4 linked regions of the Pelodiscus sinensis genome follow. The protein of the gene in region 1 interacts with the protein of each later gene in a pairwise test. Links are inferred from orthologs where the notes say so. Each region holds a gene or a part of one and is shown in the gene's direction. Other genes may lie near its edges. The genes, in order: TRIM23, TBC1D22B, GEM and GPANK1.

Region 1 (7,311 bases):
AAGCTTGGGGGAGGGGGGGCGCAAAGAGGGGACTGAAGGCCCAAACTTGTTTGGCCCAGATCCCAGGCAGGAGCCATGTGGGGAGGCAGCATCACTGAGTCTGGGTACCCCAAACCCCATCTGTAGCTATGGGGGGGGGGTGTCAGAAGCCAGGAGCTCAGGCAGGAGCTATGGGGCATGAAAGCTCCAAGTCCTTGCAGGAGCTGGGGGAGGAAGAGGAGAGCCAGACAGGACCACAGGGCAAGAGGCATAGCCCTGAGTCTGTCAGGAGCTGTGAGGGCTGGAGTTGAAGAGGGTGGCAGCCCCCACCCAAGTCCTTGAGCTTAGACAAGAGCTATAGGGGGTAAAAGCTCAAAGTCCCAGCTGGAGCAGCAGGGGGCAGCCCACAGCCTAGGACCTGGGCAGGAGCCAAAAGAGAGGGGGCAGCACTAAGCCTGGCAGGAGCTGTGGAGTCTAGAGTTGCATGGGGTGGCATGCTCCAACAAAGACTCCTAAGCCCCAGCTCGGGGTGGGGGAGGGCGGAAGGAGGGAAAGGAAGCAGAAGCCCCAGAGGTCAAGCACAAAGATCCCAGAAAGAGGCCACAGGGAGGCTGGGGAAGGCCTGAGCTGGGCAAGAGCTGCAGAGGGTGGCAGCCTACTAGACAGGTCTCCTGAGTCTGAGCAGGAGCTATAGCTAGAGCCTGGGTGGCCCCCAGACTAAGGAAGAGCTGAAGCAGAGAGGGGATAACAGCAGCCCAAAGCTGTGCCAGGAGTTGTGGGTGGCGGTGGCGGCAGCAGCAGCCAACCCAGCTTCCCCGAGCACTGTTCCCCAGGCCATCTGCCCTGAGCTCCAGCAAGAGGCAAAAAGGGTGGAAGCCAAGAGCCCATCTTCATTTTTGTGCTGCCTGTGGAAATAAATCTGATCTCCCTCTGTCATGCAGGGGACAGCTAAGTCTTGTCCCTCTGCAACATGGCTGACCTCAAAAAAGTCACATTTCATAGGAAAGAGTTTCACGATTCTTGACATGCATTTCATGGGTAGGGCCCTGCTTATGTACTTGAGTAGTCCCACTGAATTCAACTGTTACAGGATTGTGGACTTCATCTTAAATTACTCATTAGTGCTACTTAACATGAATGTGCAGGTACAATGATAAATGACAATGCCAAAAGCAATATCACCTTTATTCAGAGACAAAAAGGAAGACAGATTATTTAGTGCTCTGCTCTCATTGCTACAGGTTCCAATTCACTACTGACAAAAATTGTCATCACGGCACTATGGAGTTCATCTCCCTTGCATGTTTGACTTGAAGTACATAGAATAGAAAACTCATTAAATCAGTTATGGACTGTGGAGACGAAGAAATAATTAAGTATGTAGTTGTCTGTGGAGCAAAGAAGAGTTAGAAGACAAAAATACATATGGATATCAAATGCTATCGTCTTACGAACATGTAAATATTCTGCTGCACATGCTGAAACTCTTCTGCAAACTGAGGTTATTGCAGAACACAGAGTTTTCATCACCCTAAGTCAAAGTTGTTTACGTGCTCTGTGACTTCCACAAGCTTTCTAGCCTTTCCCTCTCCAATCCATGCAGAACAGTATCACTACAGTAGTCATCCTTTTCCCAACTAGATCTTCTCTCACCCTCACGCCTCTTCACCTGCAAAGCACTGCATAGCTTTCCCACCGCCCATAGCTTTGTGTTTCTTTCAATCCGACTGAGGTGTTTATAGGCTTGACCAATCTCCTATTAATAAAACAACATTCTTCACTTGTATATTTTTCCTTCAAAGAGTTTGAAGTACTTATTCCTGAGTGAAAAATTATGCACCAAACTCCCATACCTTCTGCAAATGCTGTTTGTTAATGAATAAATATGGAGGTTCCATCACGGCAGTGGAAAACACAGGTCACTGGCTGCATGGAGGTGGATGATCATCGTACAGCCCTATGCTCACCCTTATGGACTAGCTGCACCGAAGCCTAAAACAAGGGAAGAGCCAAGCCTGCTCCTAATATATCCCAGGATCCTGTCCCTCTACACCAAGCGCATCAGGTATGTGGAGGCAGGTCCAGATTGGCAAGATCCAAATGTAAAGGGGTTTAGTGTGTGGGTGGAGGGGATCCAAGTGTGCAGTGAGTTCTGTACGGGGCAATGTGGATGCAGGTGGACTAGTGGGGGCTTGAAGTATGGGAGTTCTGGATGCAGGAACAGTGGTTGGTACTCTGCATGAGAGGTCTGGATGTATGTGAATGGTTCTCAAAATGGGTTCTATTGTGTGTGTGTGTGTGTGTGTGTGTGAAGCTTGTTTGGATGGGGGCCCAGGTGCATATGTCTGGGGCTTAGAGAAGTAACAGGCTCAGTGGGGTAGTCCAGGTTAGGGATATAAGCAACTCATCTACTGCCCAATAAGCATATGTTTATTGGGTAGTCAAGTACTGACTCCATTAGTCACTTCCCTCTGTCCCCGACTTGCTGCCACCATGAGAGAGAAGCAGAAGTTGGGGGAAGCAGGAGCCAGTGCTGGGGGAAGACAGCTTAAAAGGGCCAGGAATCAGCTGTCCCGGCTCACGCCTTTTTCTCCCATTATGCCTCTGCCTTCTAGAGGTATTTAGAGCCTGGCAACTTTTAATACATTTAGAAGGCAGAGATGCAGCAGGGTTAGCTCCCAGCCAGTTTCCCTCTTATCAACGAATCGAGTAGTCGATGGAAATTTCATTGACTACTCGACTAGCTGACTACCTGCAATTTAACATCCCTAGTCCAGGCAAAAGTGTATTAGGCTCTCTGTATTAGGCTGCACAGAAGCTGCACAGAAGCTTGGGGGTGGGTGGGGATTTGGCTCTGTATGGGATGGTTCTGTCTGGAGACACTCATTTGTTGAGTCATCTCTCTAACTGAGTTCCCTGAAGTCCGTCCAGTCAGGTTTTCTGGGCCCTGGAGCACAATACATGCTTAAGATTTAACCTCTTCTTGCCTGTGCTGTATCCAGGAGGAGGCTGGATTATGTTAGTAGCCAGCAGCAACCTTAAGGTGTTAGCTGCTTTTTGACAGTGGGCAGGGAGGCAGGGACAAAATAGTGGATGGTGGGGGAAAAGAGAGGAGTTCTGCAAGGATATGCTACTACCCACTGTGTAGTGTGCATGCATGCGTATGCATGTTTTCTCCCTGTGAGCTCTCAAACTTTAAAAAATAAGACAGATGGCCACTCACTTGAAAGTGAGTAATTTTTTCTGTCCTATATTCAGCATAGGGAGATATGGTCACCCTACACACAACCCACATCGTCTGATTACATAAGTGTTAATCTCTGCCCAAGTCCTACTGAAAACTAGCCTATGATGCAGTTCTTCCCCGTCTGCTACTGCACATTTCTGTGACACCTCCAGCAAGTGCAGCGGTAAGCAGGCAGCCCCCAGGACAACACCTGTGCGGTTGCTCTTTAGTACACGCAGGTCTTCACTCTTCCTCCAAAGGCGCTAGTCGCACCGGCCCGCTTCTCATGCCACCCCGCAGGGCAGGGCAGCGCCGCCTGAGCAATACAGCCACTGTCAGGGCTAAGGGGGAGGCAGGGGCCCACCCCCAGGAACCCGCGACATACCCCCGGCCCGCTTCCCTGCTCCACCCGGTGGCCCCAACCGACAGCCGGTGCCTGCGCCTCGCTTTCTGCCCCACCCCCGGCGGAGGGCCTGGGGCTGAGGCCTTCCAGGGACGCGCTTCACCTGCCGGCCCAGCCGGGGAACGGGCCGCCGCGGACGCAAAGGTTTGGGGGAGGGGCGTCGAGCTGCCGTCTCGGTACCTTTCAGAGCCAGCAGATGCTCCTGCTTCGGCTGATTCACATCCATGGTCTCGGGCACCCCACGCGGAGCCTTCGCCGCCCACACCCCGGCCAAGCGCCTGCCAATGGCGAAAGGAACACGACGCGGCTCCGCAACTTGAGCCCAACCGAGCGAGTCCGGGAAAACCCGGAGGTGAGTTTCCCGGCATGCAACGCGCCATTTGGGCCCCAGCAGGAGCGAGAAAGCACTACACCCCCCAGCATGCACTGCTCCCTTTGAGCCTTGGCACGCACAGAGGAGCACGAGGGACTTGCGCACGCCGAGCGGTGATAGGAGGAGTAGTCTTCTAGGGAACCTGGACTAATCGCGTTGCATGCTGGGAGTTTAAGTCTTCTCAAGGTGACTGAGCGGATGTCGGCGTATTATCTCCGAACCTGTAGTTTTCACGAGTTGAGAGCCATTGTATGATGGGAACTGTAGTCTTCCTACGTCTCACGGGGAATGAATGAGACGCATGCGCAGTGACGTTGTCGGCGGCCTCCGGAGAAAACCCCGGCAGGATTATTTTTCATTTCTGCGCGGATGCTTCGCGTAGTGACGTCACAGCGCAAGGCCGGTGGCGTCAGCGCGTGGCCCGTCCTCCTGTCTCTGCTGGCTTATTGGCTTGTTGATGCGGAGGTGGCTCGTTCCGCCTCCCTTTCCCAACATGGCGGCTATGAGTGTAAACAAGGCCGGGCCCGGAGCGGCGCTGGATACCGGCCCCCGGCACAGCGGTAGCCGGGGGCCGGCTGGGGCTGCTGTCAAGGTAAGAGGCACCGCGTCCGCGCGGGGGCTGCCCGCCCGGTTCGTGCCACAGCGCTTGTCGGAGCGTAGTGATGCTGCGCCCCTGCCCCGGGAAGGGGGCTGGGTGGTGACCCGCGCGGGGCTCGCAGCCTTTTCCCAACTGCGTCAAACAGCCCCTGTGCAGCCGCCGCCGCCTCTTCCCGTGGCTTCCGCGCGGGCATGGAGAAGCCCGCCAGAGGGAGGACGAATGATTTGCTGCGGCTCCTGGGTCCCGTCGGCTCCCGCGAGTGCAGGCGGCAGCCCGCTGGGAGACGAGTGGGCTCCTAGCGTGGGGGCGGGGGTTGGCCCTACCGACTGCACGGTCCGTTTAAAATCTAGGGTGTCACAGCTTCAGATCTTTAAATCTGAAATTTCATGGTGGTGTAACTATGGGGATCCTGACCCAAAAGCGCGGGACAAAGCTGTTTTAGAAGGGTTGTGGTATTGCCACCTCTATTTCTGCACTGCCTCCACAGCTCGGTGTCTAGAGAGTGGTGGCTGCTGGACACCAAGAACCCAGCTCTGAAGGCAGTGTTGACAGTTGAAGTAGGGGTAGAGTAAGGGTGACAATAACATAGCATGTTACCCTTTTGCGCTGCTGTGCGTAGCCTTGACCAGGAGCGGCCACCCAGCTCTTCAGGTAATGCAGAAATAAGGGTGCCAATGCTGCTATTGTCTTCTGATAGCCAGATTTCATTTACAAGACCATATTTCACAGTCCGCTAGAGAGTCTGGTGAGGAAAGTCAGGGGAGGGAGGCACCATTGGCCACGTGATTCTCCCCACCCCACCCCTGGCTGGAGGACGGCTTACACAATGCCTCTCTGCCTCAGGACCCACCTCTTCCTATCGCGGCTCCACCCCTGTCCCATCTCTTTCCCCAAGACCTTACCTAGGAGTTATGCAGCCTGCAGGACTAGCAGAAGTTTGATGCGGGTAGCAGGGTTCACAACCTCCCTGCACTCACCCACAACAGTGAAGAGAAGTGGAACAAAGCACTCCCCTAATTGCTGGCTGCTGTTGCTCTACTTCCCACCATTGAGTGCAGAGGAGGGTGGTCCTGCCCAAGCCCCAAATGGTTGGTAGCTGGGATGGAGGAGCAATGTTGCTCTGCACCCTTCCACCCTCTCTCACCCAGCCACTGCAGTTGAGTGCAGGGGCCAAACCCCTGCTGTGAGCACCATGCTCCCTAGCTAGTTTCTTGGGTTGTCCAGAATCTCTAGCCCTTTGCTCATCATGCCCATAGTATTAGGGGGATCGTGTGCACCCTCGGCCTTCTTTCATGCATTATCTCTGCAGTCCTAGCTGTGAATTTGGTAGGGCCCTAAATAGGGATAAAATACAGGACTATGTAGCACTTTAAAGACTAACAAGATGGTTTATTAGATGATGAGCTTTCGTGGGCCAGACCCACTTCCTCAGATCAAATAGTGGAAGAAAATTGTCACAACCATATATACCAAAGGATACAATTAAAAAAATGATGAACACATATGACAAGAACAAATCAAATTTCAGAACAGAGGGAGGATGCGGGCGGGGGGTGGGGGGGCGGAGGTAGATGTCTGTGAGTTAATGGTATTAGAGGTGATAATTGGGGAAGCTATCTTCGTAATGGGTGAGATAGCCAGAGTCTTTGTTGAGACTCAAGCGTAGAGTGTCTAATTTTAGCATGAATGACAGTTCAGAGGATTCCCTTTCAAGTGCAGATTTAAAAGGCTTTTGAAGCAGGATGCAAGTGATTAAGTCGTTGAGACAGTGTCCTTTCTGGTTGAAATGGCAAGAAACTGTTTTTTCTTTGTGATCCTGTCTAATATCTGTTTTGTGGGCATTGATCCTTTGGTGAAGTGTCTGAGACGTTTGTCCAACGTACAAAGCAGACGGACACTTTCGGCACATGATAGCATAAAATATATTTCTGGATGTGCAGGAATATGTGTTCTTGATCTTATAACTCACTTGGTTAGGTCCAATGATGGTATCAGCAGAGAGAATATGTGGACAAAGCTGGCACCGAGGTTTGTTGCAAGGGAAGGTACCAGGATTGGTATTAGTGTGGTATGTCCTGTGGTTGTTGGTAAGAATCATCCTGAGGTTAGGTGGTTGTCTATAGGAGACTATGGGTCTGTCTCCCAGAGTCTCTTGAAGTTTAGTGTCCTGTTCCAGTATGGGCTGTAGTTTATTGATAATGTGTTGGACAGATTTAAGTTGGGGGCTGTAGGTGATGACAAGTGATGTTCTATTGTTGGTTTTCTTGGGTCTGTCTTGAAGTAGATGGTTTCTAGGTATTCGTCTGGCTCTTTCAATTTGCTTTTTTATTTCTCCGGGTGGGTAGTTGAGGTTTATAAATGCTTGATAGAGATCCTGAAGTTTCTGGTCTCGTCAGTGGGATTAGAACAGTTGTATCGAAGAACGGTTGTATCGAAGGGCTTGGCTATAGATGATGGATTGTATGGTGTGTGCTGGATGGGAACTGGAAGCATGTAGGTAACTGTATGAGTCGATGAGTTTTCTGTAGAGGGTGGTCTCTAATTTTCCATTGTTAATTTGTACTGTGGTATCCGGGAAATGGATCTCTCGTGTAGAATGGTCCAGGCTGAGGTTGATGGTGGGGTGTAGATTGTTGAAATCTCTGTGGAACGTCTCCAGTGTTTCTTGCCATGCGTCCAGATCATAAAGATGTCATCGATATAGCGTAAGTAGAGAAGGAGTAAAAGGGGAC
Region 2 (7,052 bases), on another chromosome or scaffold:
GGGAACCGATTCTTATCCCCTCTCTTTCACTCTTGTTCAGAATCGAAAGTTGGCCTTTGTCTTTGGCGCGCTTCCAGCCAGAGTCTCCTGCTAGCACCTGGGGAGAAGAAAAGAGACACCCTGTAAGAAGCATAATGTGCAGTTATAAAAGTGGCCTGGCTTCTTATCAAGGGTAGACTCGTGCTGCCCTCTGGCGTTGGCATCTCCCATTTGGGCATTGAAACGCCACCAGGTTTTCATGGGCTCAGTGCTTGGCTCTTCTGAAAAATCTGACCCCAGTGAGGGCTCCTGACTGCTAGAAAATCTGGTCATAAGAATCCTGGTCTAACACCTCCTCCCCTCCCTTGAATGTCAAAGGGAAACTGGGCATAACCAAGTCACACTCAGGCAGAGCGGGTAAACGATGCAAGCAAATCAACCTGCTAGCTGTTCATCCTGACTTTATGCTCACTTAGTCCTGGGGTAATTGCCTGCACATGATGCAGGGCAATGGCAAATCAGACCCATTCCCTTCTCAAATTGCTGCTCAACTAATAACATTTTGCCAATCTAGAGCACTTTCTGAGGTCCTCGGAGCACTTTGGAGAGTACTGAAGGAACCCTCTGCTCTTCTGAGGGCATGCGTCATGAGCCTCACTTTACACATGGGGAAACTGAGGCACGAAGCAGGGTGGTGATTTGTTGACAGTCAGAAGGGCAGGTTGACACTTGAGTTGTTCACCTTGAATAAATGAATTGCTAATTAACTCAAGGCAGTTACTGTGTGTCTGCACAGACTTGCTGGGATGCTCCCCAAATGCCTGTTCCAGAATTGCTAACGTTTCTTTACCTCAGAGTTTGTCTGTAGCCCGTAACAATAGTTTAGGACAGTGCTACACAGACCTTGATGACCTAAGAGCCAAATTAGCAATCAACAGTACCCAAAAGAGCCACAGGAATATGAATGACAGGGAAATATTTAGCTTATAAAACTTTTTAATTAATTTGCTGTTAGACTATATAATTTATAATTATACTTAGTAATTTAGTGCAATCTGATAACAATTCATTAATAACACAGTAAAACACAGCACCGTGATTGGTTAATCATTAAATCACGTAGTCTTTTAACATCCTGTGCTGCACAGAGCCCCAGGAGATGCATTGAAGAGCCAGTCTCAGGCCTGGTCCACCCTGGGAGTGCTCAGACTGGCTCTCTGCAAAAGCCCTAGCTACCTCAACTGAGTCCAAAGAGCAAACTTGGGGGCAGGCCAGTGCACAGAGAAGCCAGGAGTCCCCGCATCCAGCTCTTTGTGTTAGTGGCCAAACCACCCCCTTTCATTTATTTACAAAACAAGGTAGGAGAAATAAACCTGGTCCAGATTTTCAAAAGTGGCCACCGTGGGAGACTTTCTGAGGATCTGAGCTCCCGTGAGGGGACTGAGTCATTAAACCTCGTTTGACAGGGTCTGTCTCCAAAGGAGCTCAGCTTCCATTTAGACGCCCAAAGGCAGTGGCCATGGTTCTGAAAGGGAGCAGTGAATTGCTGAGCACATCTGTAGCTTTGTCCATCTCCTTAGAATTTTGGCACCAGTTTGGGTGCTGAGATCTTGAAATGTTGATGAATAATGCAGCTAGGCCAGGGGCAGAGTTAAGGGTACCTGTGAAACAGTCACTTTGGCATGCCCTGACATTGGGTGCCTTGCCTTGCAATGTTTATCTGACACAGAAATTGTCATGCAATATTTAAGGCGTGTGGAGGTGTGCGTGCGTGCATGTGTGTGTTCCAAAGGCCTTAGAAAAGAAAGATGGTCTGGTGGCCAGGGCACTAGTCTAGAAATTGGCCTCTTATGAGGTTCCAGTTAGCAGGCCTGGCTGGCAATTGCTGTATCCCTGCTGGAGGCAGCCAGAGCCATGTAAGAACTGCCAGGGTAAAGTCAGCAGCCCAGCAAGCTGGTTAGTATAAGCACCAGAGTTATTGACTTGAGTCCCACGACTTGAACTCGAGTCCGACTTAAGTCGCCGAGGTGACTCGACTTGAGACTTGACTCAGGTTCATTGTTTGTGACTTGAGACTTGCTAATTTTGTTAACTCGACTTGGTGAAAAAATTGTCCGAAAATGCCGACATCAACGGCTTGTACAAAAGTGACTTGACATTTTTTAAATTAAGACTTGAGACTCGACTTGGGACTTGACTCAAAAGTGACTTTAGGGACACGAGACTCGACTAGAGACTTGAACTGTAGTGACGTGAGACTCGACTTGGACTTGACAATGACACCTTGAAGACAACACTGATAAGCGCTGTACGTCTGTACCTACTGACAGGTTTTATGCTGCTGCCCTTTGCTGTGATGTCTGAGAACCTTCTAACTAAAAATGATAGGGTGACCCTATCATCCCTAGTAATCATCCCAGATAAACTATCTGGCACTTTGTCCTTTTCGGAGTTAAAATCTCTGCTTGGCAGAGCGGGCCAGGTTCGGGGGGCAGTGGTTAGATTGTGTTTGTTGATTTGGTTTGATAGTTACTGATCTGGGACATCTGCAATGGGAAGAAAGTCTGTATATTCTGGACCTTGTTGTTATAAACTTGAAAATTAGGTTTTATTTGGTACTGGGTCTGCATGCCACAATTGCAGCTTGCTTAGTTTCCTGTTTGTGCTGTCTTGGTCATTTGGTTGCCAAGACAAAATTGTTATTAAACATGAATTGTTTTTAAACATATAAGAAATAATTACAACAAATGCTCCTGAAATAGACTGATTTTTACATTAGTTGTTTTTTAATTTTTTTCAGTTACAGACTAACAAGGCAACCTCTCTGTGATTTTTATATTTTTATTCTTCAAATAATCCAAGAGCTTCTAGGGAGCTAAGCAACCCCCACTGAAAGTTGCCCCTTCACCACTGAAATCTGAAATGGCATTACTACTTTCTGTGAGTTCCTTGTTAATAAGGATTATAATTACTTATTGTTTGTATCCAGTAGCATGGTTCAATAAGACAATGGAAAAGTTACCAATTTAGAGAAATTGTATAACATTTCAGTAAGGAGAGAGAAATATCTGTAGATCTAATTGTCATGCATACCCATCTCTCTTACCTATGTTTCAATTTGCCCATGGGTGGTATGTACTGTGTTCATCACCAGGCTAACTAAGTGCCTTATAAGTGTTATAATTTTCCTTGTGTGATTCCATCCCACTTGCATGAGCAAAATAAGATTGTTTTAAAAGTGTGAGCAAATCAAGATGGATTTCCACCCTAATTCCAAGAGGCACAGGTTCAGATTGGGACTGGGAGCTCTGTTTTGATGCAGTCCAGGATTAGACCCTAAACTACTCAGGTAGAAGTCTTTGAAACATCTAAAATAGAATGAAGTTGCAGGACTTTGTGATGTGAATAGAAAAAGTGGTTTTTTCACACTCAGCCTGAAGTACCAGAAATGTAACTTACAGCCAAACAAGCTGTCACTGGAGGGAGCAGGGAGGTTTGAGGACTCCCAATGGAAAGTTTGGGGAAATGACATTTAACTGAAAAGGGAGATGAGATGGAAGCTCCAACTCTAGGGGAGCCCAGCCACTGCACAACCCCTCTCCCTCTTTCAGTGCAAAGTGTTTAACCCCACACGACCCCTCCTCCCCAGTGCAGCTGGTTTAACCCTCTCCACCTGTCCTTCCACAGTGAAGTGGTTTAACCCATTCCCAAGCAATGCAGACCCCCTCCACCCCGCCTCCCTGGGGCACATGGTTTAACCCTCTCCTCCCCAATGCAGACGGTGTAACTCCCTCCAAGCGCAAATGGCTTAATCCCCTCTGTCCCTCCTCCCCAGGGCAGAGGAATTGTCCAATTCCCCCCTCCTCTCCCAAGGGGGGTGATTCGTCCCCTTCCAAGCACTGGAGATGGTTTAACCTAGCCACCTCTTCTCAGAGGAGATGGTTCGCTCCACTCCACCCCTGGACATGGTTTATTCCTTGAGTGCACAGATGGTCTCTCCCGCCTCTCGAGGCCCTGCCCCTCTGCCCGGTCCTGGCCTCCCTCGCTTCCCGACCCTGCAGGATCCCGGCTCTGGATTGGCTGAGCTGGAGGCCGCGGAGCAAGGCAGCCAATGGCCGGGCTTCGCCCTCCCGGATCCAAGATGGCGGCGCCGGAGCCTGGCAGCGGGGCCTCCGGAGGGAGGAGGTGAAGCGGCCTCGGCCCGCGGCTCCGGGACCTGTCGCCGCTCCCCCCTTCCGGAGCCGGCCGGGGCCCGGCCCCAGCCCCAGCCCCAGCCCCAGCCATGGCCGCCGAGAGCAGCAAGCAGTTCTGGAAGCGGAGCGCCAAGCTGCCGGGCAGGTGCGTGCGGCCCTCGCCCCCACCCCCCCCGCCAGATCTCCGCCCCCCCCGGCCCGGTCAGACTCCCCCGCCTGACCCCTCCCCCCCCCGGCCCGGTCAGACTCCCCCGCCTGACCCCTCCCCCCCCCCCGGCCCGGTCAGACTCCCCCGCCTGACCCCTCCCCCCCCCCGGCCCGGTCAGACTCCCCCGCCTGACCCCTCCCCCCCCCCCGGCCCGGTCAGACTCCCCCGCCTGACCCCTCCCCCCCCCGGCCCGGTCAGACTCCCCCGCCTGACCCCTCCCCCCCCCCCGGCCCGGTCAGACTCCCCCGCCTGACCCCTCCCCCCCCCCCGGCCCGGTCAGACTCCCCCGCCTGACCCCTCCCCCCCCCGGCCCGGTCAGACTCCCCCGCCTGACCCCTCCCCCCCCCGGCCCGGTCAGACTCCCCCGCCTGACCCCTCCCCCCCCCGGCCCGGTCAGACTCCCCCGCCTGACCCCTCCCCGGCCCGGTCGCCCCCCCCCCCCGGCCCGGTCATACACCCCCCCGACTCACCCTCCCCGGCCCGGTCATCCCCCTCCCTCTGCGGCCCACTCCCCCTCCTCGCCTGCCTGACCCCCCGCTCCTCCCCCGGCCTGCTCTGCTCATCTCCCCTCCCCCCACCTGACCCCTGGCCTCCCCTCTGGCCTGGTCACCCCCCCCCGATTCCCCCCCGCCGGCCCAGTCACTCCCCTCCCCCACCTGACCCCCAGCCCGGTCACATGCCCCCCCGGCCTACCTGGTCACCCCCACCTGCCTCAGTCACAGCCCCTCCTGACCCCCCTCCCCCATCTCCCTTTTATATTCCTCCTGATTGATTCCGGACTAGTCCATTAACTGATCATTTCCAGCTGGGCCTGAGAGGAGCCGACCTGCCTGGGAATGGGATTCACTTCTCCTATCCATTTGTGGGTACTTGTAATATGTATCTCTGCATAGCTGCAACCTTCACCAGGGAGCCAGTGACAAAAGGGGGGCTGTGCTGGAGCCTGTTAACTAACCTTCTGTGCACCTGCATCCCCCAAGTCTCCATTCAGTGGGGGATGACAAGCTGGAGCGGGAACAGTTTGGTTTGGCTTTTTTTTGGGGGGGGGGGGGTGAGGAAGCAGTGAGTCCTTTCCCCTTCCCTCTGCATCCTGAAGTGGGGAGGGGGCAATGTAGAGAGGAGCTTGCTGGGTGTCTAAAGGCCTACTTCAGAGCTAAGAGCACAAGGTGCCCCCCTCGTCCTCAAGGCCAGGCACGGCCCTGGACAGCAGAGCCTCCCAACAGAACAGGTGTCCTTGTATCCCATGTGAGATTGTAATTCCCTGCATTCCTCTTAACCCTGCTTCCCAGGAAGTGTGGGAGTCTGGGGGGGCACCTTCCCCACCTCACTTCCTCTGGCCAGGGAGCAGCAAGGGAGGCTTACTGGGTGGGAGGGACTGCACCAGCCATTGCCTTGAAATAGATTAATGACAGCAGGGGGCAGGAAACTTGCTCTGGGGAGAGGCTCCCCACTTGTGGCTTTGAGAGGAAGGTTCCCAAAGAAAAATTCAAAGCAAATCCCCAGGAGAAAGCGAGGGAATAGGGAGGTTTTACCCACCTCCCTGTGAGGAGTATTACAAGGGTAGGTTAAAGTCTGAGCGCTTCATATGGGCATCACCGTTTCCACGCTGCCATTAATCTCATCTTGACCCTGCAGTCCCCTCCTGGTGTGCACGTGCAGAGCCTTTGAAATGCTTAACTGGCTTTAAATCCTGCTTGGCCAGTTAATCTTCTCTTTCTAATGCACTCTCACTTTCACTCTCCCCCTGCTCAAACTGAGGTTGCTGGGACAGTCCAGACCTGGGAGAGTGGTGTGATGCTGCAGACATCACCCGCAGCTCCACCTTTTTTTCTGACAAACGAATGCCACTCTGCATATGCACGTGTCTTGGAGTATAATCTTACTATCGGGTACATGTCTTATCTGTAGCCCACATCCTGCCCGTGCAGAGGGTGCTCTCTAAGATAGCAAGTTTTTTCCATCTCGAACAACTTTGAGCTCCGCTTTTGAGAGCTTAACCAGGCAAACCCGTTTGGGGAAATAAGTAGGAGCCAGCCAGCCCGGAACTCAAACTAGGGCACTGGATAAACTGTTCTCTCCCCCAAAAGGCCAGCATGCTAATAGTTTGTCAGATCTAGCTGTGTGTGGTGGTACTGGCTCTGTTCCTAAATCCCTGCTATAATCACCCACGCTTGGAAGCTGTCAGCAGAGAGTGGAGGAGGGAAACAGGAGATGCTAGGTTTATGGCCTCGGAGGTTAAGATTACTTAAGAACTGCTTATCCAACCTTTCTGGGATCTTTTCCTGCATATTTGCTGGCTCTTTCCCAAGTCTGTGCTGATCACCCTGGAAGGAGCTGAAGATAATGTCAAAGTTTGGATAAGCACTTGGGCTTTCTCCATTCACCGCATCTCTTTGTGATCAGTTTCAGTTGTTCTCTAGCTTGGTGTTCAGCTTGGTGTGCCACCAAGAGGTTCTCTAGGGCTGTCACGGCTGTTCCCCACTCTGACAGGATAAATGCAGAAGTTGGGGGCCCACAAGAGTACTCCAAAACCTTGCCTCTACAAGCTCTGGTACAAAAACTTCCCTCCAAAATCCTAATACCCAGATTTTGGGGGACCCACTGCCACCATCAAGTGCTTTGAACCCCAAAATAAAAACACAAATGGGTGGATACCTGGGGTACCCCAAGCT
Region 3 (7,162 bases), on another chromosome or scaffold:
CTGAGTTTATTTCTACATATAGTGCTACCGTCTGTGCTTTTCAGTATTATCTATTTACAATTTTCCAGTGAATCCATCATCGCCTCTGACTTTGCTTGATCAGTCTGGGCATAAACCCTTTCATTCCTGTGGCAGAGAAAAGTTGTTTTCACATTTAGAACTACAAATGATAATAATTTACAATGAGCCAAATGAACATGCGCTACAGAACAGGGCACTCCAGGCACTTAGCCAGCTGCATAACCTCTGGATAGTTCCACAGCCACCAGCAAGATGAAAAGTGAAGCCAAATGAATAGGCCTGCCAAAGAACTGGTGTCCTTTCTGTAAAATCTGAGCATGGTATGACAGACTCCCCCCCTCCCTCCCCAAGCTTTATGAAATGGACTTATGGACATGAATATACATAACTCAATGGTGCTTTAAGTGAATTATTTTGTGTAACCCATCAATCTTCATGTCATGATCTGCTGGTTCTATTTATCTTACTTTGATGTGTGTGTAACCCCCTTTTTCCTCCCCGGGTTACTGGGGAGCAGGTCACACTCACAGGTGTGCCTGGGCGCCTGGTGTTTTAACCCAAAAGAGATCCTGAGCACCCCAGTGGTGATGGTGTCTAGTTGGGGAAAGCCCTATCCACCCCCTTACTGCAGTCCCTTGCTGGCAATGAATGTAAAATGGCAGTGCCTCCACCTGGCTGGCCTTGAACACACACTGGTGTGCCTTGAGAGCCTCCAGGAATATACTCATTCCAACATACATCTGGATCTAATTCCAGAACAACTACAAATCATTTATATCTAATAGAACACTTTAAAATAAACAATCTTTACTTAATTTGAATAAACAGGGATTAAAAGATTAGCAATGAATAGCATTAACAAACACATATCAATAATTGAAGCTTATATAGCTAGACAACAGTGACCCCACCCCAGAGTGTGCACACCCCTAGACTCAGTCCCAGACACGTGCTTGCGTTGGCGCGCTGATGTTGCAGCTGTAGTGAGGATTTGGTCCAGGCTAAACAGCAGCTCTGTTCCAGGCAGCACTTTTCCAACAAGGCCCAAACTTACTGCCTCATGCTGTGCCTATAGGAGGCAGCCTGCTAACTCCCAGTTCCAACAGGCATCCAGTAGCTGCACTCCAACAGCCCTTGCACTGGGTCAATGTCCTTGGCAGCAGCCTGGCTCCCCCTCTGGTTCCAAACTCCAAGGCAAAGTCCCAGACTGATAGGCCTCTTTCTTCAAGCACATGGGAGAGAGCAGTCCTCTCTCCCACCAGAGTCCTCCCTTCCTGTTTTTTTTTCCAAGGGCTCATGGGAATTGTAGTCTGGATTGTAGCACACAGGGTCTTTTCAGAATAAAACAGGCCCTTTTAGTAAGGGGACTACATGTGTATCATTTTTTTTAGTGTAAAATTGGGGAGCGGGGAATACTTTGTGGATTTTAAATGTGTGAATAAGAGACAAGGAGGGTGTTACCCAACTGTTAAACAATCTCTTTTGTCCTTAAGGCTGAGCAGGGGTTAGTTGGAGTGGCCTCAATTCTTTAACAAAAAGAAGAGGAAAGCAGAGGCCTTGGTCTTTTGGCTGGGCTGCACCTGAAGGAAAGCAACCGAAGACCCCAGAGTGAAGAGACAGCCCTGGTTTGGAGCGCAGCTGGAAAAGAGGCTTTAGGGTGAGTTTGAGTAAATCTGTATTGAGGTTTCAGTGTAGAATTAGCCAAGTGTTTTTGTTTCTTTTGATTTGTAACCTACTTTGCGCTGCCTGTTCTCTCTTATTACCACTTAAATCCTACTGCTTCTATGTAACAAAATCATTTTTATTTTCTATCAAACCCAGTGTAAATAATCATTACCTGGGGGGGGGGGGCAACTAGGGTGTACATTCCCCCTTTCTTTGTTAAAGGTGGCTTACCCTTATCTAATTCTTTGGGGTTTGATCCCATCTGGGGAGCGACATCCCAGGAAGCTGGGCACTAAACCGCACTCTCCTTGGACCTGAAGAGGTTCCGTGTCTGTACTGCTTCTCGGTGGGGGCAGGGACCCCAGCTCGGGGTCTTGTCTGGGGGAGACCAGCAGAGCTGGCCTAGCAGGACCAGGTGGTGAGGAGCCCCAGAGAGCGGGAAGTCAAATGGGTGAGTGACAGTGGCCGTGTCAGCACCCCGGGAGTCACCCCCGAAGGGTCGTCTGTAACCGCACTCCGTCACACATGGCCTTTGGGGCATGAAGCTGTTCTTCCAACAAGAGAATAGTCAATTCTGTATGATAGGACTTTGCAGTGCTATGCAAACCAGTATTCATAGCGATTCCCTATGGCCATAGACCAAACGGCTGCTTCTTATGGTATAAGCTTCTTATTGATATTTAACCTTAATATTGCAAACACAGGACTGGCTGGTGATTCAGTCATCCTGGAAAGCTAGTTGATACTCCAAGTTGTGATGAAGCTCTGTGTTTGTCATGCAACTTTGCATTCGGAGACATGAGCAGGTGAAAATAAGGGCTTATTCTGCTTCTCCAATTCTTGCCAAGTTTGAGTGACTTCCATTGCCTTTATAGGAGAATATTATTTTGGAGAATGTTTTTGTCTTTATATGTTGGAAAAGGAGCACAGAAAGGATCCCTGCCAAAAGAAAAAATTAACGTGTTTCTGTCGAAGAGTTTTGTAAATTCCATCTTTTCTTAGCACTATAGTTCAATGGTAGCGGGTCATTACCTAGAACACAGCTATTCCTGATTTACAGCAGTGAATCATGCTGCCCACAAAGACATTGTGTCCGTGTTCAGAAATGGATTTGAGTTCATCTGTTCAGATTTCTTTAGTTTTTTATTAGTAAAAATGTTATATGACTTTATAAAACACTTGGAGACAGTATACACTGTTGGTAAGGGATCTTCCTTGGATATGTCTACACTGCATTCCTCCTTCGAGAGAGGAATGCAAATGCAGCTGAGCGAAATTGCAAATGAAGCACAGATTTGAATTTCTTGTGATTCATTTGCATAATCGCGTCTGGGCACTATTTTGAAATAACCTATTTCGAAAAAAAAACACTGTCTAAACATGGTTATTTTGAAAGAAAACCCTCCTTTCAAAATTACCCTTAAACATCATTTTATATGGAGTACGGGTAATTTTGAAAGAAGGGTTTTCTTTCTAAATAACCGCATCTAGACAGCGTTTCTTTTTTTGAAATAGGGTATTTCGAAATAGTGCCTGGATGTGATTATGCAAATGAAGCATGGGAAATTAAAATCCGCGCTTCATTTGCAATTTTGCTCAGCTGCATTTGCATTCCTCTCTCGAAAGAGGACTGCAGGGTAAACATACTTGTCTCTATCAATTAAAATTTTCCATTCATCCTTAAAACTATCAGGACAGGAGTGTGATAATGCAGTGCTTTCTCTGGCAAAACGCCTTACAGCTAATGAGGCTTAAAAGAGTAAAGATTTAAGGACCAAGCGCGTATTTTGTAACACACAATATAGTTTTTGAAAACTATGCAGCCTTGTGCTGCTTCTCTTTTATGAGACTATAACACCTTTGAGATCAGTGGAATTCCATTAGCGCCAAACTGGAATAACACCACAGCGAATAAGATTCTGTGCATCCAAAACACATGTAAACATGAGCAAACTGTTCAGTGGCTTATAGGTTGTAAAGAAAGTGAAAAATGGGATCTTGTGCATTCATCAGTCTTATACTGAAAAATAGAACAAAATTCCTAATTTTCAGGTATTTATAAATTCTTGACCTATGACCACATACAGGCGTTAAGAGGTTCCAGGATGGTGCCCCTTCCATTTTGTAACTGGATAATGAAATATATTTGTCGCACTTGAGACATTAGAACAGCACAAGCAATTCTTTAGCCATCACTGATTTCAAGAGCACTTGCATGCAGAGCTGAAAGACACGTGTTATGAAATAAGAATTTATTGCATTTTTCCACTCTCCTGTTTCCCCCTGCAAAAAGACAAAAGGTTTACTGGCATCATTAACGAAGAAAAGAATCATATGACTGCAAGTAAGGGATTTTGTTAGTGTTACTGTAAGGTTTTGCTTCTCTGTATGCCTGCTTCCTCCCAGCTGGGGGCTGGCTTTCGTGTGGACAGGCCAACGACGTCACGGAAAAGCCCTGTCTCTGATCAGATGGTCTTAATATAAACCGGGTCTGCTGAGAAGGAATTAGAGAGGCAGCCACTCAACAGGAGAGGAATTATTCCAGCAGACCAGTTCAATATATCACACTCCACTGACCAAAGGAGCTGACTGTGTTTGGAAGAAACTGTGCAAAGTAAGGTAGTGCTGGCTGAAAAGTGTTAGTTTGAATGTATTGCTTTTGTGAAGGGAAATGATGGTAATAAGTAGATAAATGAAATGTGGCATGTGAATTTGGAATTGAATGTATTACAGTAAGTTCTAAAGTTTTGCTTAGCATGGAAATTCCTTAAGAAGGCACTACTAGCAAAGTAGACTGTTTATTATTTAACCAAATCAAAGTTAACATTTCTTATTCTGTCTTTTTGACAGTCAAAATAGATACTTGAAAGTGAAAATATTTGATTTTGTTTGTGAAACGGTGTTTCTTTGGTGCCTCCTCTCCAGCTAAATTCATTTCTTGCTGGCAAAAGTTTATGTGAACTATGGAATACACATGCACTTATTTTGCAACAAATGCTATAATTACAGATAGGAAAATGGCATAGGTGACAAGTTGTAGAGCAGAGGCAATATGCTCGGTAAAGGCAGCTATTCAAATTCCAGGTACAGTTTGCTGTTTTTCAGCACATTTGTTTGACCGGCTCTGTACTGTCTCTAAAACGTTTTCAGTGGTTGCTTAAGTTAGAAAAAATAATTGCTAGTGTGCTATTTGAGGAGATGGGGCACTTCTTGCAAACACAAATGAGGAATAAAGTTTGAAAACGGTCTGTGATGTTTTAATAGCAGACGCTCTCTTTGTTAATATGCAGAAGAGAACGGAGAACCATCAGAGTTACTCCTACAAAAGCAAAATGTATAAATAACTGTCACCTTGGGAGCTGGAGAGCATCAAAGTAACTTTCCTAAAAATGGTAGCTGTGGGACCACTAGGAATGACATCATAATATTCTGCCTCCAACCAAGGCAAAATACATTCAAAAGTCAAATATAATTAAAAGCCATGTTTAGACAAGAGGAGCTAACCTGGCTAGTTGCTCCTCAGTCAAATTAAGTTGTTTATTTAAAGACTGCAAATTTGAGCTATTTTCTCCCTGTAATTTCTACTCTAGTGGCATGATCAGGTACATACGCTGGGATCCCATTAGACCTCATTCTGCTCTCTTACACCAATTTGATACCAGCTTAATTCCACTGTGTTCCTTTTTTTTTTTTACACTGATATAGCTGAGAGCAAAATCAAGCCCACTATACCAAGACTTGTTGCTGTGGTTCTGCACTATATGTGCATTGTTTAATGTTTGTAGCTCTCAAAACAGAGTCAACTCTCAGTTGAGACTAAGCATGATACTTTGCAGGCAAAGAATGATTTCTTGTTTAACAAAGTGCGAGCGGACTCCGCTGGACTTTACATGCATATGCAGTGATGGGGAGGGTGCAACAAACATTCGCTCCATTGCTTAATCTGTGTAAGGGACAGGCACAACTGCATTCGCTGTAGTTCTCCCTCTGCACACCCCTAGAGTTTCACAGCGCCCCAGAATGGGCAGGGACGAGCTCACCGGGAATTACGTGCTCTTTGAAAGGACACAGCAGCGTGCACCGCCCCCCTCCTACTCACATGATGGGCTGCTAGGAAAGGCAGTCTGCCTTCGATGGTACCCTTCAGGGCAGTGCAGCTCCACACCATCCCCAAAATAGTGCTTAACATTCACAACTCAGGGGAGTCAAACATATAGGTTAGTATGTAATGCTGATTTCAACCTGAATCCTAAAGCCATGACGATGGCTTGCTAATTAGAAACGTTAGAGGCAAATGAAAGAGGCAACCATTCTAATTCTTCTTTTGTCTGCACACCAGGTGTTTTATTTAAACATGGTGACCATTGCTAATTTTGGGGGTCTAACATTTGCAACTTCGCTATTTTTTACTAGGTAAAAACCATGACTCTGAATAACGTCACCATGCGTCACAGCAGCAGTGTGCTGCATGCGCAACAGCAACGCTGGAGCATCCCTGCCGATGGACGACACCTGACTGTCCACAAGGACCCCCATGAGTACTACATGCGCAAGAGATACACTATGAACCCCGAAGATTATTACCGAAGGAGTTGGTCATCAGAGTCTTCTGATTCGGTCATTTCCTCTGAGTCCGGGAGTCCCTACTACAGGGTGGTATTGATTGGGGAGCATGGAGTGGGAAAATCTACCTTGGCCAATATCTTTGCAGGCGTACATGACAGTATGGACAGTGACTGCGATGTGCTAGGAGGTAGGTCATTACATTCTGTATAGTCTATGTTTTCTTAAAGCCTTTCTTGTCAATAGTCATCAGTAATAACACAGAAAACTACTGAGGTTGTTTAATCTGGCAGCCCTGAAACTGAGATGATACACACTTGGCCCTTATTTTCAAAGCTGATTCCAGTATATCCTGTATAAAAATTAGGGGCTATGAAAACACAAAAAACCCTCACTGACAAAGACTTACCTCTGCTGAAATACAGAGGAAAATATAGCATCTGAGCCTTTTGAAGTCTGATTAATTCTTAACTGTGCTGTAAATGCATCAGATCCTAAATTAGGGTATGTCTACACTACAGAGTTAGTTCGAACTAACGGACGTTAGTTCGAACTAACTTTCATAGGCGCTACACTAGCGCTCCGCTAGTTCGAACTTAATTCGAACTAGCGGAGCGCTTAGTTCGAACTAGGAAAACCTCATTTTAGGAGGATTAAGCCTAGTTCGAACTAGCTAGTTTGAATTAAGGGGTGTGTAGCCCCTTAATTCGAACTAGTGGGAGCCTAGCCCTCCCCAGGTTTCCCTGGTGGCCACTCTGGCCAACAACAGGGAAACTCTATTGCCCCCTCCCGGCCCCGGACCCCTTAAAGGGGCACGGGCTGGCTACAGTGCCCGTGCCAGGTGCAAGCCTGCCAGCACCCAGCCAGCAGACCCTGCACCTGGCACGGCTCGAGCCACCCACCCGATGCCCCC
Region 4 (7,291 bases), on another chromosome or scaffold:
AAGGGAGAGGAACCAACGCGGGAGTAGGAAGAAGTGGGAAATACTCCTGCTTATTCCCGGCACAGATCGACATCAGGGAACGTAATGAACCGCTGGCCCACGTTTTGGGGGATTCTCCGTCGCCAGCAATTTTTCAATCCAGATGGGATGCTATTAACTAACTCATCCGTGCTCCAGCCGGCGTGATCCCGGGAGCCAATTCCCGTGGGCCCTGCGAACCGTGAAATTGCTGAACTCACGACTCTCCTGGCCTTGGGATCTCTATCTCCATCCACAGAACCAACAAATTGCCTTCCCAGCTGCGCACTGACCCATGTTACGTCGGGAGCTCCCATTCAGCGATTCTCCCCCAGGGCCCATATGTCAAAGGACGGGTCCCCGTGGCTATTCCTGGTGGTCCGGTCTTCTATTTGGCCATGTCAAATTGGAAGGAAGAGATGGGAGAGGAGGACCCCGGGTCTCAATGATTCAGGCAAAGAGACACCACCAAGGCCAGTCCATTGTACGGCTGACACACCCACGCTGCTTTCGCATGTCTAGATGGGTACGAGTGCAGATGCTGCCCGGAAAGGGGATCATAATGAGCCCTCCTCAATTGTGACGTGCTTGTGCAAAAAACAGCTACGTGCAAATCAAGACCTCACTATATTGTAAAAGACATGCAGCCTCGTGCAAAGGCACAAACATCCCAGGACCTCGCAGTTGTGCACGAGAGAGGACAAGGAGCTCAGAGCCAGGTTGTGTGCCACGTGCATGTTTCATCCACACACAACCCTCCTCCACGTGTGTGCAAGAGGCACACATCCCATCCTTCATGCCTGTGCACCACACAAACACCCTGCGACGGACAACTTTGAAATGGACACGCACACCTGTCCCCCACGCTTGGGCAAGACACACCCTGCTGCTCACACAACTGTGCCGCACGCATCCTGGGCCGGCAGTCGTGCGAAGGGGCAGCTGTCTGGCTTCGACATGCCGGCCCATTCAGAGGGGCGGGGAGCGGCAGCAGGGTGGAAGGAGACGAGGACTCACACAAAGCTGGCAGGGGGCTGGTGACGGGTCAGGGGCTCAGACCGAGACCCCTCCTCAGCCCTGGGACCCCCACCTAGTACCTGGCTCCAAGTCGAGGATCATGTCGAGCGCCTGGCGGTAATGGGGGACTTGCTCATTCAGCCCCGTCAGGTTAAACTTGTCCTGGATATAGTCCTCATCCACCTGCGGGGGAGGGAGACGGGCTGAGAACCCAGGTGTCCGGACTCCCAGGCCCTCCTCCCCCCATGCTCCAACCACTAGACCCCACTCTCCTCCCATGGTCAGGACAAGTCCTGGCTCCCAGTTGCTTCCTCTCCCAGAGCCAGGCAGAGAACCCAGGCACTCTGGCTCCAACCACTAGGCACCACTCACCTCACAGAAGAACTCATTTCCACGCAGGCCACAGAACCAGGAAATCCAGGAGACCTCTTCGGAACTGCTCATCTTCCCGTCCTCTGCAGAGGGGGGGGGGGGGGGGCGCGTCAGGCTACCCGTGTGTGCGGTGAACGTGGCTCGGGCTTGGCTGGCAGCCCCACACGCCGCTCCCACTACAGACCGTGCAGCCAGTGCTGTGACGTGTCCCCTCACGTGTCCCCTCAGGAGCAGCCCCCTCAGGAGCAGCCCCCTCAGACAGCGTTCAGATGCGCCCCCTCTGGGGTGGGACACGGGGAGGGAGAGGGGCAGTTCTACAGGGACCCCTCTCTCGGCACTGAGATGCAGCTGGCTCTGGGGTGGGGCATGAAGGGTGAATGGCCCTTCCCCCATTGTATCTTTAACTCGTCCTCCCATGGCACGGGCAGAGATGAGGGATAAATACTCCCCCTTTGCACTGGGGCACAAATGCCCCCACCCTCCTCCCCTCTTTGCACAAGGGCAGACCGCTCATCATTGTGTGGGTCTGGGCCCCCTTGCCCTCCCGCTGCACAGCTCCCTCCTCCCCAGCTTGATACTAAGAAGGCAGATGACCCTGCCACATGCCCCCTTCGCTCTAGTGAGCACATGCCCCCCCCTTTGTGCTAGGGACAGACCCCCCCCACACACACACCCTTTGCACTGGGGACAGAACACACACTCTTACACCCGTTGGATTAGGCCCCCTCCCCTCTTTCCACTAGGATGCAAATCACCTCCGGCCTCTAAGGGCAGGCTCCCCCCCCTTTGCATTAGGGTGAAAATTCCCCCTCTTTGCACTAGGGTGCAAATCCCCCCGCCATGCCTTCCAGTAGGGGCAGCCCCCCCCACCTTTGCACTAGGAGAAGGCCCTCTTCCCTCTTTACACGAGGAGCAAATCCCCCCGCCCCCCACTGCACTAGGGCAGACACCCCGGCCTCCCTTGTGCTACAGCACACCCCCACCCCCACTTTGCACTACGGCAGACTCCCCGCCCCCCCTTTGCACTAGGGTAGAAGCCCCCCCTTGCACTACGGCGCGGCCGGCCCTTTGCACAAGGGCAGTCCACCCCCCGCCCCTCTTCGCACCAGGGCGCAGGACACTCACCCCCGCGCGCTCAGCCCCGCTCGGCAGCAGGCGGTGCCCGGCAGCGAGTGCAAACAAGCGCTGCCAGACGTGCACAGGCCTCGCTTCCGGCCCCCTCCCAGCGCGCGGGGCATGACGGGAGATGGAGTTCGCAGCCACCGCCGCCTCCATAGGAGTCCAGGGACGCGGGGCCAGCGCGGAACTACCGCTCCCACCATGCAAAGCGGGGGCAGCGGGCGCGGGGGGTGATGGGAGGCCGCGATGCACGACGGGAGTTGCAGTTCTCCAGCCGCCCGAACCGCATTGGGACGCATGGGCAGCGGGACCCGACGGTACTACGGGCGTACGGCAGGAGGGGACCCCGCGGAGCCGCAAAGCAGCATGGGAATCGTAGTCCCGGAGTGCCCCTAGGGCCATTAGAACGAACGGGCGGCAGGATGCTCACAGACTACACCCGCCATGACAGACAGAGAAGCGGCTGCGTGCGCAGCCGGGCGCCGCAAGGCCTCCTGGGAGTTGTAGTCCCGCAGCTCCCCGCGCGAACTACAGCCGCCATGTTTGAACGCGATAGGCGGGACGGGAGGAAGCCGGGGGAGGCGCCGCAAGGCCGCTTGGGAGTTGTAGTTCTGTCGCCGCCCGAGCCTCATTGCCGGGATTGGAGGGCGGGGGAGCGGGAAACTACGAAGCCCAGAGGAGGGGCGAGAGGAGGGGCCGCAGAGCATAATGGGAGGAGCGGTCTTCCCCCCCCCGCCGTCTCTTAGGAGCAGACCGGAGCCAGACGCATGGGGGAGGGGCCCGGACACCTGAAAGCCATCAGACATGGGCGTGGCCTGACCCGAAGGGGAGGGGCTTATCCAAAAAGGGGGGTGTCCGCACGCAAATGGGCGTGGCCTGTCCCGATGGGGTGAGACTTCACCCAGAGTAACTGCCATATTAAAGGGCGGGGCCAACACAAAGAGGGCGTGGCTTCCCCTAAACGGGCGTGTCCCTGCAAAATGGGCGTGGTCTAACCCTCGTGAGGGCGTGCCCCTTACTGGGACAGGCGGGATTTCCCGCAGGGGGCGTGGCCTCATCTCCGGGAGTGTCCGGCCCCCACGAAAGGGCGTGGCCTCCCCGCCGGGGGCGTGGCTTCCTTTACCCTCCTTGATGCTGGTGCTGCTCCGCCGGGTGCTGGCTCTGCTGTACTCCATGGCGCCCCGCGTGCTCATCTGCCCCGGCACGTTAATTGGTACCGGCCATGAAGGGTTAATTACGCTGACCTACAGGTTAATTACAAATATGTTAATTAGCCTGTCGCGGGTAGGGCTATTTCTGACGTAATCCGGTTAGGGTGAGGTAAATTAGAAGGTGTGTTAATGAACCGACGTCGGGATGACGTCACGCGCCTGCGAGCCGATCCTACTGTCATTAATTCCTTCCCAAATTAAATCTAATTCTATTGAAATGGGAACAAATCGACGCTAATTGGCTGGGTTCGAGGCAGAAAGGCATGCTGGGTAATATGCAAATGAGATTACCGCGCACCTCACGCTAGAAGCAGGGAAGCGCGCGGGGCAGTGGCCGTTACTAGGCCAGCGAGAGCGCGAGGGCCCTTGCGCATGCGCTGTGCTGGCCTCTAGGTTCGAAGCACGGGGCTGCGCATGCGCCTGTTTTCGGTTTCGCACGCGCGCCCCCTGGCTCGGTTTCACTGGGCTCCCGTGCGCAGGAGCCTGGCTCCTCCCTTCACCGCCTGACGCGTTACGTGACGTCACTCACGCGCCCCGCCTGCTTTTCCCGCGTCTGGAACACGGTGCGCACGCACCTCGGGGGGGGGGGGATGTACTGCGCATGCGCGTCGCGGGTCACTCGTCGCGGCCTAGAGTAACCGGCCGGCGGGAGGCTGCGTTCGAGCCGCTCCCCTCATGCGCGTGCCTAGAACCAGGAACCCCCCTGCCCCCCCCACCGGCGGCCTCGCGCGCATGCGCCTTCCCTTGGCCCCCGGGGGCGGCGCGCGGCTGCTGCGGCCTCCGGCGTCTCTATGGTGAGTGGGGCCGCGACGGCGTCTGGGGGGAGGGGCGGGAGTGTGGCTGGCCCCGCCCCCAGGGCCTAGCCCCGCCCACAGCTCCCCGAGGCGCTCGCCCCGCCCCCTGGCCCTTAGCCCCGCCCCTGGGGCGCTAGCCCCGCCCACAGCGCCCCCAGGGGGCTCGTTCCGGATTCTGGCCCCGCCCCCAGACCCGGGTTCCGCCCTCAAGGAGCTGGCCCCGCCCCCAGACCCGGGCTCCGCCCTCAAGGAGCTGGCCCCGCCCCCTCCCAGCCCCCACTCCCCTCCTGGGCTCTTGGTCTCACCCCCCACCCCCACCCGTCTCGGGACCCGGCTCCACTCCTCAAACCCCCCCCCCGGCTCGTGGCCCCGCCCCCATTTCGCTAGGGCCCCCGCCCGACCCCCCCCCCGGCACCCCACCCCCACGGCCCTGTCTGCGGGTCCCCCAAGGACACTGGTGCCCCCCCCCCCCGGGGAAATCACCGCTCTGCCTCCTACCTTTGCCGGCCTTGTTCCCCTCCCCGCTAGGAAACAGGCTGATCCCGCCCTGTGCACCGGGGCCGCCCAGTGACCCACCTCCATCCCCCCGTCTCCACCATGAACTCCGGCCCCCAGCTCATCTCCTTCACCCGGGCCCGGGAAGAGTCAGACCTCTGGAAGGATGGGCAGCTCCAGATACGGGCCGGGTGCCCTGTCCGACGCCGGGAAGGGGATGCGGATATGGAAGGCGAGGAAGCCCGGAGCTTCTATGAGAGCGTCCTGGCCTCCGGTGACCGCTCGAGTCCCCTACGAAAACGCAAGGCCCCACCGAGACGCCCGAGGGTGCCTGAGACACCCACCACCCAGACAGGGCAGACTGACTCTCGCCGTGGGAACCTGCTGCTGAGATCGGCCCAGGAGGGTGACACAAGGACCCTGCGGCGGCTGCTGGAAAAGGAGGGGTGCGATGTGAACTACAGGGACGGTTATTACTGGACGGCGGTCATGTGTGCCGCTTATGCAGGCCGGGGGGAGGCCGTGAGATACCTGCTGACCCGGGGAGCCGCATGGGTGGGCGTGTGCGAGTCGCAGGGCCGGGATGCGGTGGACCTAGCCGAGGAAGCCGGGCACCAGGATGTAGTGAGGATCCTCCAGGAGCGTGAAACGGCTCAGCCAGAGGGCAGGATGGCCAGGTGAGTCTTCGGTTCTGCTCACCTGACCCAACCCCAATCAGAGCTAGAGCTCTCTAGAGAAGAAAGGTCCCGTCTCCCCTTCCCCATCTGCCTCAACTAGCTAGTTTCCCCAAGTTGGGACCAGATGGGACCAAAAGGGGAAAGGCCCTATGTCCCGTTCCTCATCTCCCTGAGCCAACCAAGTAGTCCCTGACCCTGTTGTCTCCCTAGCAGGAGGACTCCAGCAGAGAGGAAATACTGTGCCGTGTGCAAGATGCATTATAGCGAGGACAGCGTAGAGCTCCACGAACGCTCCACGGCCCACCTCTTCAATCGGCGCGACCCACTGCCTCCCACCCGCTACCACATCCCCGAGAACAACGTCGGCTTCCAGCTCATGGTCAAGGGGGGCTGGGACGCTGAGGCTGGGCTGGGGCCTGAGGGCACTGGTCGTAAATTCCCTGTCCAGACTGTCCTCAAGAGGGACCAGAAGGGCCTGGGCTTCCGTAGCGACCTCCGGCCCAAGGTCACCCATTTCAACGCTAATGACCCCAGCGCTGTGGCTCAGCCCAGGGAGCAGCAGCCTAGGACACAACGGGCAGCTACAGTGGGGAAGAAAGAGGCCCGTCGCAGAGAGGCCAAAGCACAGGCCTGGGAGCGTAATCTGCGCACCTACATGAACCTTGACCTTTGAACTCTGGATTAAGAGCCTCGATGGTTATTCAGCTACTGGGATTGCTTGGATGGTGCATCTACATTCACTTTGACCTTTAACCTTTCACACTCACTGATTCCTATCAATGTTCAGCTGTTTGGATTGCCAGGATGGAATGTCTACATGAACTCTGACCTTTAACCCCCCGAGACAATTAACAACCCTAAAATCATGCAGCCAGTTGGATTATCCAGGTGAGGTGCTTTTTGAGAAATTCAACCTCTGGTATTTCTGATACCTGCGCTGTTAGCCAACAAACCTACAGCCCAGGAAAACTTTTTAGCCAATCAGATCCCTCATGTCTACATGAGTATTGACCCTTAACCTATGATGTCATCTTTGTGGAGTACCATTAACTAATAACGCACAGTCCTTGAAAGTATCCAGACAGTTGATTTCCTTGACATGTTGGATGCAAACCCTTGACAAAACATTGACTATGAACCAGAAGCATCTCAATGGGATCTCTGTGCCGCACCATTAACCACTCAGCCTACAGTTCTTCAAACCATTCGGCCTATTGGAATTCTGGATTGGCTGGTTGATATGACATCATTTTTCTTAAAGGGCCAGTAGCTATCAGGGAAGAGACACATCTCTGCAATCCTCACGGTCTTAGAATGCCAGATCTGCTGACTAGGCCAACATGCACAAGCTCTTGTTCCTGTAATTTAATGGGATGATTCAGGGATGGGAACGTGGCCTGGTTGCTGTTCTCCCTTCTGCTCAGAAAGCAGTGAGATGTGTGAGCAGGAAAAGATGCTGGCCGGGTTTTTTGGTGTCTGGGGATTTTGACTGATTTGGAGGGGAAACAAATCTCAGTTTTTGTTTGGATTCTATTTGATTTGGAATCTTTAAGTGAGAATAAATAGTGGTCCCTCCCTGGTTGTTTTG

What was found.
Region 2: the proteins of TRIM23 (region 1) and TBC1D22B interact in binary tests that used the Homo sapiens proteins (3 or more experiments, as listed by UniProt). The link is inferred for Pelodiscus sinensis from reciprocal best matches to the Homo sapiens genes TRIM23 and TBC1D22B.
Region 3: the proteins of TRIM23 (region 1) and GEM interact in binary tests that used the Homo sapiens proteins (3 or more experiments, as listed by UniProt). The two-hybrid records come from large-scale screens. The link is inferred for Pelodiscus sinensis from reciprocal best matches to the Homo sapiens genes TRIM23 and GEM.
Region 4: the proteins of TRIM23 (region 1) and GPANK1 interact in binary tests that used the Homo sapiens proteins (3 or more experiments, as listed by UniProt). The link is inferred for Pelodiscus sinensis from reciprocal best matches to the Homo sapiens genes TRIM23 and GPANK1.

What each region holds. Positions count from the first base shown.
Region 1 is NC_134716.1:90,184,243-90,191,553, forward strand, and holds the start of TRIM23 (E3 ubiquitin-protein ligase TRIM23), read left to right. Parts: upstream 1-4,289; 5' UTR 4,290-4,438; coding exon 4,439-4,573; intron 4,574-4,664; exon of another isoform or gene 4,665-4,798; coding exon of another isoform or gene 4,799-4,912; intron 4,913-7,311. Other genes in the region: TRAPPC13 (trafficking protein particle complex subunit 13), read right to left, coding at 3,789-3,834.
Region 2 is NC_134737.1:16,850,292-16,857,343, reverse strand, and holds the start of TBC1D22B (TBC1 domain family member 22B), read left to right. Parts: upstream 1-4,042; 5' UTR 4,043-4,261; coding exon 4,262-4,317; intron 4,318-7,052. UniProt on the Homo sapiens protein: May act as a GTPase-activating protein for Rab family protein(s).
Region 3 is NC_134712.1:40,657,723-40,664,884, forward strand, and holds the start of GEM (GTP-binding protein GEM), read left to right. Parts: upstream 1-4,149; 5' UTR 4,150-4,300; intron 4,301-6,099; 5' UTR 6,100-6,108; coding exon 6,109-6,439; intron 6,440-7,162. UniProt on the Homo sapiens protein: Could be a regulatory protein, possibly participating in receptor-mediated signal transduction at the plasma membrane. Has guanine nucleotide-binding activity but undetectable intrinsic GTPase activity.
Region 4 is NW_027466017.1:274,842-282,132, forward strand, and holds GPANK1 (G patch domain and ankyrin repeat-containing protein 1), read left to right. Parts: upstream 1-4,289; 5' UTR 4,290-4,531; intron 4,532-5,059; 5' UTR 5,060-5,128; coding exon 5,129-5,703; intron 5,704-5,913; coding exon 5,914-6,376; 3' UTR 6,377-7,282; downstream 7,283-7,291. Other genes in the region: CSNK2B (casein kinase II subunit beta), read right to left, coding at 1,116-1,218, 1,408-1,490, 3,650-3,719.